Xenopus tropicalis: one gene and its partners. Each later gene encodes a partner of the first gene's protein in a complex. Links are inferred from orthologs where the notes say so. Each region holds a gene or a part of one and is shown on either strand. Other genes may lie near its edges.

Region 1 (4,394 bases):
ACGGAAAGAAACAAAAGGATCTGACCAATCAAGCCTGACCTCTCACATTATGGGAAGAACAAAGTAATTAGAAAAAGTTTAAGGGCTCTGGCACACGAGGAGATTTGTCGCCGGCGATTTTTAAAAGAGCGATTTGGCGACAAGACGCCAATGCTAAACCAATGGAAATCGCCAGCGTCAAAACATACGAGGCTACTTCAAGTCGCCTGCTGTTTCAAATCGCGCACAGACCCTTTTCTGAGCGACTTGAGTAAACATGTGGGGGGGGGGGGGGGTAACTGTTGAGTGTACCATGGGTAGCAGATCGCCTGGAGCTCAACTCGCATGAAATCTCTTCGTGGGTATTGTCGTGGCGACTTGCCGCCAAAGCGCCTGGTGGAAAAAACGCAGGCAACAAATCTCCTCGTGTGCCAGAGCCCTAAAAGGGAAAGAGGAAAAGGATGGAGGGATTTAGTAACAAAAACAACAAAGCCACAGACAAGCTTTGAGACCCAAAGAAAAAAAATCAAATAAAGAAGAAAAACAACACATATGGTCAAAATTGACGATTATAAGTATAGGGATAAACAGATTATCTATGGTACTGGCAGCACTTGTGTCACCTCTTACTGCAGCTTCAGCCTGTACAGCAGCAACGCCCCTAAAAATGACACAACTGCATTACAAATATGTTGCCAACCTCCAATAAATGGCTATTAGCTGTGGGGAAGCGATGGCAGTGGCACAAACAGCAGAATCTCACTCCTGCCCAACACTCATAGAGAAACCGCGGCCATACTAAACCCGAGTGGGCGGGGCTTAACAACTCAAGCCTCTCTATGGGCGCGGCTTTTCATTTCACTATAGCTTCCTGGATTTGCGTTCCAAGCCTCGGTGTGACGGAATCCGTCCTACGATAGCTCTGTGCGGAAGAACCCCGCAAGTCACTGTTGAAGACAGACCGGAAGTTCCGGCTGGTGGAGGCAGCAGCTGTCTGTGTTTAGGGGTTTGGGCTGGAGCTGTGTCAGTGTAGCGGTCTGCGAACTGGGCTTGAAGACACAGAAAGGGGCGGCCTGTTGTGGGGGGGACACAGGGCTGCCTTTGGGGGATGTGTATGGGCAGTTGGGCGGGTACATAGGGGCAGGGCTGAGTTATGTTATGAAGAGCTGCCAGAGGGTATATAGTGGGGCCTGTTCTTGTGGGTGGGTTATAGGGCCCTATGAGGTTAACCTGTAAGGTTTAGGGAGGATATAAGGGCTATTATTAATTCTGTGTATAGTACTGTAAGTATTACATCTGTGGGTGCTAGAGGGATTATAGGGACCTTAATTAATTTGTATGTATACTACTGTAACTTGAGAATAAGCTGTGAGTGCTTGTGGGGTTCAGTTGGCGGTTATATTTATACAGAGACCCTGGTCAGGTTTGATAGGATTCATTACGTTATAAGGGGGGGGGTCTCTTGTTGGCTGTTTACGTGGGACACTAAAGTAGCGCCATCATTAGAAAACCTTGATTACTTTGAATGGTTACATTAAGAGCCAAGTGTAACAACAGGCGAAACTAGATATTTAGGGATCATAGTCTCTTTTTGTTTTGATCTTGGGGGAGGCCCCCAACTTTTTCTTTTTTTAGATATCATTTTTGGGTCCCCTTGATCAAGGGGTCCCCGCGCCATCTGTGAAATTGGGGGTGGCACCAAGCATCCCGAGGATTGGAGGGGTGACTGCGGGAGGCCCTGGGATGAAAGGGAAGGAGGAGGGAGGCGGAGGACGCCCCTCGGGGGTTAGTGGGGGTTCTGGCGGCACCGGAGGTAGCCCTGAGAAGAGTGTCAGCGCCCAAGAGCTGAAAGAACAAGGCAACAGACTGTTTGTGGCCCGGAAATACCAAGAGGCTGTGTCCTGTTATAGCAAGGCCATTGTAAGTATCACATCTCTAACCAATGTGTATATGGTATATTTGTATATAATGATGCCAGGGCACATATTTCATTCCTTGCATAGAACAGTGCTGGCCAGTGTTTCCCAGCCTGATATTAAACTAATACAAAGAAGTCTATGAATGTCTTTGGGCAATCCTAGGGCCTTCACTTGCACAGTATTGGTTTAGAATATACCAAGTGCTTTCAGATTTAGGGCAAGTGGTTAGGGGTTTCCCCAAAGACTTATAGGGTTAAATAGTAGACATTGAGTGCTAAGGTGCATCAAGTCTGCTCCTCACCCAACAGGTCTATGTAGGCTCGTGTTATGACCTGTTTATTGGCCCAGTGGCCAGAAGAATAGATCAACCCTATTTGGCCCAGCATAAGGGCGACCAAACAAGCAGGTATATGAGTGTGCAGCCCACTTTAGTTGCCGTTGTCTCTTAAAACCTTATTCAACAACAGTGCTGCCCCGGAGTGTTACTAAGCTGCAACTCCAACAAAGTGTGAATCCTGACTGTTCTGTATACGCCCATCCTGTTCCTGTTCCTTTTTTTCCTGTAATACTTCCTAATACTTCACCTTCCTGATATTTTATTAAAGTGAGCTATTAGCAAGCCCATATTACTCAGTGCTCTCTCTATGTTAGAGCACAACAAGATGGCTGACATCATGCTGGTAGGGGGGGGATTATCATTGGAACATTCTTTTGCATATTTATTTTTTTGGGCAACCTCCTTTGCAGAATCGGAGCCATATATGGGAGGGTTATTGGACCGCCTATAAGTGATTGTAGTGCAGTCTTCCAAAGCAACCAGTCTGCAATTATTTCTACAAGATAGAAAACAAAAGCAAAGATCTGACTGTTAGCTATGGATGAATGCAGTTTACAGTTTCATGGGTGGGTGTTAATGTAGCAACTGGTCACACACAGTAGAAATTGTATAAGAAAATGGATCACAACCAGTGCTTCTTATTCTCTATATATTGTTAATGGTGAGCTTTTCCTCTCTGGCCCTCTCTGTAGACCCGAAACTCCTCCATTGCCGTGTATTACACTAACCGGGCGCTATGCTACCTGAAGATGCAGCAGCTGGACAAGGCCCTGGCAGACTGCAAACATGCCTTAGAGTTGGACTGCCAGTCAGTGAAGGCCCACTTCTTCCTGGGGCAGTGCCAGATGGAACTAGAGAACTATGATGAAGCCATTGCCAATCTACAGAGAGGTAAGCCACTGGGCCGCGCTTATTAAGGGGGCCACACACAGGCTGCTGATTGTCCTTTAGACTGATTAGTCAGCTTAACTGCCCCTGAATGGGGCCCCCCCAACGGGCCTCCCTGACTGGCTGAAAACCGGCCATGTGTCAATTGGGCAGGTTTGAGTCTCACGTCGGATCGATGACACATCGGCTCATTGATGTTGTCCTTGGCCCCACGGCTCCTATAACCCATTAAACAAACCACCCCAGGGTACTTTCCTGTAGCACACAGGGCTGCCATCTCTTTCTTTGCTCCCAGGTACCCGTCATGCTGCCCTGAGCAGATACCTGTGAAGTACAAAACTTCTTTAGCAATTGTGTCCACTTACGATTGGCTGGGACCTGGGGAAAAAAAGATGGCGGCACCAAGCTGCGCATATGCAGCATTTTTTTAAAGAAGGGAAAAGCCGGACCAGGATAATAGGTCATGGATTTTATTGTAACAGATTGGTGCCACCCCCTACCAATGATTTTTACTTTGCGTTCACCTTTATCCAATAGAATAAAACGCAGCATATGCCCTAAAAATGGCTTAGGGCTCTGGCACACGGGGAGATTAGTCGCCCGCGGCAAATCTCCCTTGTCACGGGCGACTAATCTCCCCGAACTACCATCCCACCGGCAAAAATGTAAGTCGCCGGTGGGATGGCACACGCTGCGCAGACGATTTCGGCAAATCGCCGAAGTTGCCTCGCGAGGCATTTTCGGCGATTTGCCGAAATCGCCTGCGCAGCGTGTGCCATCCCACCGACGACTTACATTTTCACCGATGGGATGGCAATCCGGGGAGATTAGTCGCCCGCGAACAGGGAGATTTGTCGCGGGCGACTAATCTCCCCGTGTGCCAGAGCCCTTATAGTGCCTGTGCTATTTGTGGAGCAGAACTCCTGATATCTGTTTAATTGCAGAAGAGCTTACGCAGCAACAAATGATATTTGTTTGTTTACCCCGGCGGACTTAGTGCTGCCTGACAGCAAGAGTATATTTAGGTCATGAACCAGCTTGAAAAACAGGAACACCGAGGCCGGGCACACAGGTTTAGCAAGGCGTTAGCTCTTGGACACACTCTGACTTCCAGAAGCTTTAGATTCCCTTGAAGGTGACACGTGCGGGAAGCCCCAGATAGCGAGGCAGATTGTTGTACTCTGTATACTGGAGTCAGCTGAGGGCAATGCTATTAAAGGGGAACTCCGGCTTCTGAAACAATATTTGTTAAACACAGAAACCCCTAATAT
Region 2 (4,371 bases), on another chromosome or scaffold:
TTACAGGGGGCTTTATTTGGTAGTAAATCTTGTTTTTATTCAACCAAAACTTGGCACCAAGTCAACTACCTGGTTTGGGGGCACTGAGAGCAACATCCAAGGGGTTGGTGAGTGACAGGTTGCCCCTGAGCCACTGGTTGGGGATCACTGCTCTACATGATACAATGGCGTTCTTGACATATGAATGCTCCCTATTTTGTGGCAAAAGATTGAGGATGACCTTTCCTGTTTCAGCCTTATAATTACCCTATGCATAATATGAGGTCCATACAGAATTGGTATGAATTGGCTAAAATGGGAGAGGAAGAACTTGAATGGTCTGCAGCAAGCCCTGACATCAATCCAACTTAACATATGTGGCAAGAATTGGAATGTTGACTGTAAGCCAGGCCTTATCCCTAACATCAGTGCAAAGTACATATGAATGGAAGTAAATCCTATCCAAAACCAGGGCACCCAAGGTACTCTGCCTAGAGCAGCAGCAGCTTTTGGGGGCGTCCCTTGGATGTCTATATCATAGATTTATTTAAATAAAAAAACTCACCTGCCACCGGAGAGTTCCTGCATAAAACCAGTGATGGAGCTAGGGGGGGTGAGAGGTACATGATGCGGAAATGACATCCCGTGTAGGCTGCACGTGGCATCACTTCCGCAAACTGGGGGCTCATTTAGGTCTGGTGTCTAGGGTGGCACTGGACCTAAATACAGCATTGCCAAGTAGCTACTAGTAGATCCCCCAACTAGAATCAAATTAAAAACTTCCCAGTACAGCAGAGGGTTAAGGATGTTCTAGCAGCAAAGAGAAGAAAATTTTAATTAAATACATTTCAATAAGATGGTGTATATAAAGTGCCAAAATACTGCTTTGCAGCCTGCATTGGTCTGTATCTCAAAATCCTATTCATGCAAAGGGTGCTCTAGAAATAGAATGGAAAAGAATGTCAATTTTCCAAAATTGCCTAAGGGTTTACTTGCCCTTTAAAGGGGAAAACTAAATATATGCCAAGCATGCATCAAAATAAGGCTTGTACTGCAAATTAAAAGTTAAGTATGGGTTATTTAACCCATACAGAAAGGTACCAGTTAAAGGTAAAATGAAGTCTATATATAATATAATTTGTACAGTACAAAATATGCAGAATGAATAAGGCATTAGAAACAACTTAATGGAATTTATCCAATGGAGGGGGTGACCTTGTTTTATAAGAGTTTAATTTAATAACAAGTATAAAATGACACAGCCTGTGGTTTTCTCTAAATACAAATGTCGACGCGATGGGGGGATGGAAGACGCGAGAGGAATCAAGGAGGGGTCAGCAGGAGAAGGCAGTCTAAAATTGGATACCCTTAGTAATAGGTCCAGTCTCTTCTGGGAGTCATCAGCTGTTACAAAAGCAGATTCTTGTAGGGTGTTTCATAAGCTTCAAATACCCAGCTGACAAGCTACAGGCAGCAAGCATTAACAGGCAGATATAAATAGGAGCCAGTGACTGCAGCACAGAAGTTTACAGAACTTTCTCGACTGATGGCACCAGTGTTTAATAGACTTACTGGCAGCCACACGAGTCAAAGGATCAAGGCACCTCTCTTCTTTTCAATGAGTCTGCTCAGATCCAGAAAGATTTTAGATTGCTTTTAACTGATTTAATTCCACAGCTACTCTTTTTTTCTGGTTATTTTTTATTTTTTTTTGCTATTAAAGCATTCGCCAAGAGGCTGCACTGCCTGAAGATTATTCTGCCTGTACGGAAATTACAATAACCATAATCAGGTTGACATTTTCCAGTCACAGCTAAAGAAAAATAATGGCTGACAGTCAGTTACCCTTCACCTGCCATTACCCATCTAACAGACACAGGGGAAGCCGTGATCCTTTTCGAGAACAAGGACTGTCATCTCGCCTTCTTGATGAAGATTTTGGCATTCCACCTTTTTCAGATGATTTAACCATGGACTGGCCAGATTGGGCAAGGCCCAGACTGACTTCTGCCTGGTCGGGCCCTTTAAGATCAGGCTTGGTGAGATCAGGGATGCCCCCACCCGTATATAATTCCAGATACACGGGTTATCCTGACGCTCGTAACACTGTAGCAAATATCAGCCAGCCATGGAAGGTCTGCGTAAATGTGCAAACTTTCAAGCCAGAGGAGCTGACAGTTAAAACGAAGGATGGCTTTGTAGAAGTTTCAGGTTAGTAACAATATATACATATACACATGTTCTTTGCTTCACTGATCATTTAGTTAGGCTTATCTGGGGTTTATTTACAAATGTAAGTATAGGATGCAAAGATTTTTACCCACAATGCAGCATTTCCCACCACAAATGTTGCATAATTGTGGCAGTGAAAGAGTCAGTATTGGCACTTAGCATAAAAAAGATGTATGTATATGATTCTTTAGGAGTTTAGCAAGTCTACTGCACCTATTAACACAGCCTGTAGTGGGGACCATGGAATTAATGCCACTTTCCGGGTGGCAGTAGCACACTTGAACCTATTAAGCAATTAGGAACAGAAGGTGGGCACTGATGCACTCGTGCCAATGCGCAACTATAGGGTTTTGTGTGCTAAAAGCTTAATCGTCTGACAAAAAGACTTCAGAGTTAATTTATTACTACTGGCATAAGCTTTGACCTATCATTTAATCCATGCATTACAGAATAGAAAAAAGGAAATAATAGAATTACTAATAAGAACATCTAGGCATAGCAAGCAGATAATAATCTGCATATACTGATAATATTTGCCTCAGAACAGCAAAGCAACTAACTAATTTGGGGGTTGTGTATGGGCAATGCTCCAGAAGTCCCAGATTGCTAGGGATTTTAGGGAACTGTAGTTCACCTACAGATAGAGGCCTGTCTCGGACATAATTTAAAGGGATTCTGTCATGATTTTTACAGTGTAGTTTTTATTTCTAAATTACACTGTTTACATAGCAAATAATTCACTCTACCATTTAAAATTTTATTCTTGAACCAACAAAGGTGTTTTTTAGTTCTACTATTGGTGTGTAGGCGCCATGTGCCTGAGTCTGAGCTTTCAGAAGGAGCCAGCGCTACACATTGGAACTGCTTTCAGGCAACCTATTGTTTCTCCTACTCCCATGTAACTGGAGGAGTCCCAAGCCTGACTTGGATTTCTTACTATTGAGTGCTATTCTGATATCCACTGGGAGCTGCCATCTTGCTGCCTTCCATTGTTCTGCTGATCGGCTGCTGGGAGGGAGGGATATCACTCCAACTTGCAGCTCAGCAGTAAAGTGTGACTGAAGTTTATCAGAGCACAGGTCACGTGGCTGTGGCACCCTGAGAAATGAAGAATATGGCTAGCCCCATTTCAAATTTTAAAATTAAATATAAAAAATCTGTCTGAAAAACAGATGCAGATGCAGATTGCAGATTCTGCTGGAGAAGCTCTATTAACTGATGTGTTTTAAAAATGTTTTCCTATGACAGTATTCCTTTAATGATAAAGAAAAGTTTTTTGTCAGGGGGCTAACATTATCAAGTACACTAAAAGTGCACTACTTCGTTGGTGGATTATTAGCACTGGACAGTACTGAAACTGGTGGCAATCGATGGTGACTTTGCAATATCTTTACCCCAGCCTAGCAGTGTGCAGAATGTTACACTGGGGGTTAAAGCCAATATGGCTTCAGGCTAGTGGATTTATGTGTTCCAAGTGTGTGACATATGTCTTGTCAAGTCTTCATCACACACATCTTAAACTCACTCATATCCTTATACAGAATGCAATGTGGTTACAGCAAAGCATGCACAAAACACTATTTACTAGATCATGCTAGCACAGTAGTTCTCAAACTGTCAGGCTGTCTCTGTGAGGCAGTTGATGAGGGGGGCACTTGAAGGTCAATAAGGATAAAATGTGGGGTAAATGTACCTGTGATGTATATCTCTCTGCCTACAGTAAGGGGACTGTTTCTGCTAAGGCAGATATTCACAATTTGCGGGCCATGGAAATAAGACAGCATGCAGAAATAGGGCGGCACCAGTACCTGAAACAATGACCTGTTCCCTGTGTCTACACTTGTACTTTTCATTCCTTCAGGCTCAGTGCATCAACTGGGCCACATGGTGATTGGTCAATTTGACAAGAGGTTTAAAGTTGAACTTCCTGTCATCTTTCTGTTGCTATAGCAAAAAAGGAAAGGCCCTTTGGGAGATGGGCAGAGAAGGAGAGCAGAAGACTTAAAGAAAGAAGAGAAGGAAATAACAAAAAAGGCTAGGGAATAAATAGTTACATAGTTAAGTTGGGTTGAAAAAAGACCAAAGTTCATCAAATTAGCCCTTCCAACTGAACCCTAGACAATGTGAAAGGAAGCGAGACTGGGATATACAGTAAGAGGT
Region 3 (3,633 bases), on another chromosome or scaffold:
TCAGCAGAACAATGGGAAGGGAGCAAGATAGCAGCTTCCTGACACCTGTATTGCTTAAAGTGGTAGATATCAGAATAGCACTCAATAGTTGTGGATAACCTTGAAGGCATACAATATAACTGTTATAGGGCTGCTAAACCTTTGGGTTGGTCCAGTAAGTTCATTATATATATATATATATATATATATATATATATTATTTCTAGCCATAAATTTTTTTTTTTTTTTTTACTTTAACGAAAACTTGTGCATAGATTATTTTTATGCTAAAAGCACTGATGGCATTTTAATGCTGCATACTTTCTTGGGAAGATCATCTCATAGGCGCCATTATCTCAATTGTCTATAATGAGGAGGTATTTCAAATTATTTCTCGCATTCTTTCAACTTGTTCTTCCCAAGAGTACATACAGGTGGCAACCAAATGGCAGACGTGCTGTTAGACTTAATGTATCAAACATATCTTAGATGACAAAAAAAGACTCTCATCCAAACATTAGTGTACATCCTTGTAATACATTTCTATTTTTGCTGCAGTGCAAGTACAGGTATGGGACCTGTTATCCAGAATACTCAGGACCTGGGGTTTCCGGATAAGGGGTCTTTTCATACCTTGGATCTCCATATCTTAAGTCTACTAAAAATAATTTAAGCTTTAAATAAACCCAATAGGATTGTTTTCCCTCCAATAAGGATTAATTATATCTTAGTTGGGATCAAGTACAAGGTACTGTTTTATTATTAAAGAGAAAAAAGAAATCATTTTTAAAAATTAGAATTATTTGCTTATAATGGAGTCTATGGGAAATGGCCTTTCTATAATAAGGAACTTTCTGGATAACGGGTTTCTGGATAACTGATCCCATACCTGTACTTTATTGATCAGAATATAGTTTCTAGACATACCATATTCCTGTAGTGCAGAGGTTGTTGGGCGTATTTGGCCAGGCCCTCCTATTAATATAACTGACCGCTAAGCTGTACTTCCAGGCATACCCAAATCTGTTGCTAACTGGCTTTCAGGCTGGCCCCACTAAGCACACTTTGACCACCAAAGGAAGGCAGCACCACAGTTTGGGAAAAGTTGTCAGAGTAGTTAAGCTTACCAACTCCCCTTTTTTTAAAAAGTCTTCTATCTGCTATGTGTCACATGGATCTAATCAATATGTTGTCTGCCGGTGGGATGGCATTTCGGGGAAATTTGTTGCGGGCGACTAATCTCCCTGCGTGCCAGAGCCCTTATGCCAAGTTGAGGTAGCCTGAATATCCAGAAAATAACCACCCTGTTCACTTTGGTTTGCAAAAATGAAATGGTATAAAATATTGGTCGAAAACTGTAATGACCCTACCCCTTAACATATAACAAAAATGATGGTTAACCAGTTAAACACTGATGACGAAGTAATGATCTTAATCATGAAATCAGATTTCAGTATTTACATTTTGGCCACAATTAAAATGTTTACATTTTAATGTATTAGTTGAAGTACAGCAGTATGATCTCTAATGATTTTCTTTTTTCTTTAGTTTTGGTCTTAGCAACAAGTTTGAAGCAGAATTCCCTTCTTCCTTAACTGGCAAGGTATGTGTCAAAAACAAAGTTTAAAGACAAACAATTTGCTTTCTTTAATACTGTTCTCATACTTAGTAACATTTTCCCCCCTTTCCAGGTAGCACCTGAAGAATTTAAATCTAGTATTAACAGAGTCAACAGTTGTCTTAAGAAGAATCTTCCAATTAATGTCCGCTGGTTACTTTGTGGATGCCTTTGCTGTTGCTGTACATTGGGCTGCAGTATGTGGCCAGTTGTTTGTCTAAGTAAAAGAGTAAGTTGACCAATTCTTGGCTTCTTGATTTTGTCTTACAGCTTAATCATGTAATGTGCTACTGTGTTCTTATTAATAATTCTCTTATTCCACAAGGCTTTGTTGTAATATGCTTTTAAAGAGGGCATATTTCTCTTCATACCTATCTTCAATGTATTTTCTTTCATACCCAAAATTTGCTTATAGCTGATGTACTTTCCTTTTCTTTATATTTGTTATTACAATCTCATACTCCTAGCTTGTGGTGCCACTGAGAGGCAGTGCATATTACCCCTAATTACAATTAGTAAATGGGTTAAATAGCTTTTAGTTAAAAGGTGTTACATTTCTGCAGAGATGATTCCTGTAATGAGGTTGGGAAAAAAGGTTACGAACCATTGTGCACATCTTATTTTGAATTTTACTAGAGCTAACACCATTTGGGTCTTTGTAGAAGTATACATTTTGCTTATTTATAATTTCAAGAGAATTAACTTATATGCAATATGGCTCATATGAAGATTTCCACTAGGTATATAGAGTTCTGGCAGCCTTACTTAATTAGCTTTCCACTAATGTGTTATTCACTTTCTGTAACACTTAAAACGTGTTCTCTTAGGGGACAATGGATGCTGCATGTTTGGGCAGGTAAAATGTATGGTGGACAAAACACTCCATATCTCTTATGTATAAATGGCTGTTCCTTTTACATGTGGGTCTAAGCAATTGCCATTTAAATAAATAAGGAAGCATTTCCAGATGATTTATTGTCTGCCCCCAGGCTATTAAACACTTGTGCAACAATATGTGGTGGAATGCAGGGGAACACAGGGCAAAATGCCCATGTGTAAGGGCCCTTAAGGGAGGCCTTAACTCTTTACAAAGCTTTCCCATGTGGCTGGTAATCTCTAAGGTAGATGGTTTAAAACATAATTACAGATTCAAGGAAGTTCACGTATGAGAATACTGCTTATAAGAACTGTCAGCCACCTTGCTGTTATGTTAAACCAGAAATTTATGTTAAACTTAACTTTTATTATCTTATAATCAAGAGTAAATGGGAACTATTAGAAACTCAGAAGCCCATATTGTGCTGTATAATTAGATTTTTAGCATTTTTTTTTGTAAAGTAAAAGTAAGATACACACACATTTGTCTTAACAGTTTGACCTCCCAGTAAATACCATTTTTTTTTCTTCACCTATAAAGACTTTTTGTTATACTTCCCCTTTAACATTTTAAGTGCAACCAAAGAGCCACCCAGAAATGTAGAATTTGTTGCAGGAAGTCTGATACTAATAAGTGGGCATCATGGATTCTACATTTCCAGGTGCCTAATCAACATATTGGTTTCATGGCAGCGGGTGTAATAAATCAAACATCCCACCATATCACCATGAGGGATAAGCAACTTCGTATTTGGCTTCTTTTTTGTAATTTCTTATGTTTTGAATTATTTGCCCTTCAGCTCATTGCCCCTTTAATCTGGAATTTTAAATGCTGTTTTCCGAGGTCAGTGGCCCTAGCTTAGCATTCAGTATAAAGCTTAATATTTGTCTTTTTATTATGGTTTTTTTCATATAATTTCTTAGAAAATTCCATACTGTTGAGTAGCACTACTGCTAAGGGCATTGAATTGGTCTGTGCTAAAAGTTAATTTTAAGTTTCCCTTTGCCTACTTGACGTACAGTTTCACATAAGGAAAGCCGGGAACTATTTTTGCCTTTGAGTTAGGAAAGCATTTGCTTTGCATGTGATAATGATAATCACTTCAGATGAAATATGTATAACCATGAATTTTAAATGAGATTTCTGTCCACTGGCCATT

Evidence for each region.
Region 2: stub1 (region 1) and hspb8 share a complex: the UniProt entries of both Homo sapiens proteins name them as parts of the chaperone-assisted selective autophagy (CASA) complex. The link is inferred for Xenopus tropicalis from reciprocal best matches to the Homo sapiens genes STUB1 and HSPB8.
Region 3: the proteins of stub1 (region 1) and chic2 are in contact, whole or in part, in a crystal structure (PDB 8SUV), measured with the Homo sapiens proteins. The link is inferred for Xenopus tropicalis from reciprocal best matches to the Homo sapiens genes STUB1 and CHIC2. Residues at the interface, in NP_005852.2 of Homo sapiens: Lys30, Asn34, Phe37, Tyr49, Val61, Asn65, Leu68, Leu71, Val94, Lys95, Phe98, Phe99, Gln102, Arg128, Asn130, Phe131, Gly132, Asp134, Ile135; in NP_036242.1 of Homo sapiens: Leu156, Pro157, Lys158, Thr159, Pro160, Ile161, Phe162, Arg163, Pro164, Asp165.

Annotation. Positions count from the first base shown.
Region 1 is NC_030685.2:14,818,772-14,823,165, forward strand, and holds the start of stub1 (E3 ubiquitin-protein ligase CHIP), read left to right. Parts: upstream 1-1,463; 5' UTR 1,464-1,722; coding exon 1,723-1,899; intron 1,900-2,927; coding exon 2,928-3,126; intron 3,127-4,394. Other genes in the region: linc02867 (uncharacterized protein LOC100145131), read right to left, coding at 292-294. UniProt on the Homo sapiens protein: E3 ubiquitin-protein ligase which targets misfolded chaperone substrates towards proteasomal degradation.
Region 2 is NC_030677.2:165,806,110-165,810,480, forward strand, and holds the start of hspb8 (heat shock protein beta-8), read left to right. Parts: upstream 1-1,562; 5' UTR 1,563-1,805; coding exon 1,806-2,190; intron 2,191-4,371. UniProt on the Homo sapiens protein: Involved in the chaperone-assisted selective autophagy (CASA), a crucial process for protein quality control, particularly in mechanical strained cells and tissues such as muscle. Displays temperature-dependent chaperone activity.
Region 3 is NC_030677.2:39,930,498-39,934,130, reverse strand, and holds part of chic2 (cysteine-rich hydrophobic domain-containing protein 2), read left to right. Parts: intron 1-1,527; coding exon 1,528-1,582; intron 1,583-1,670; coding exon 1,671-1,826; intron 1,827-3,633.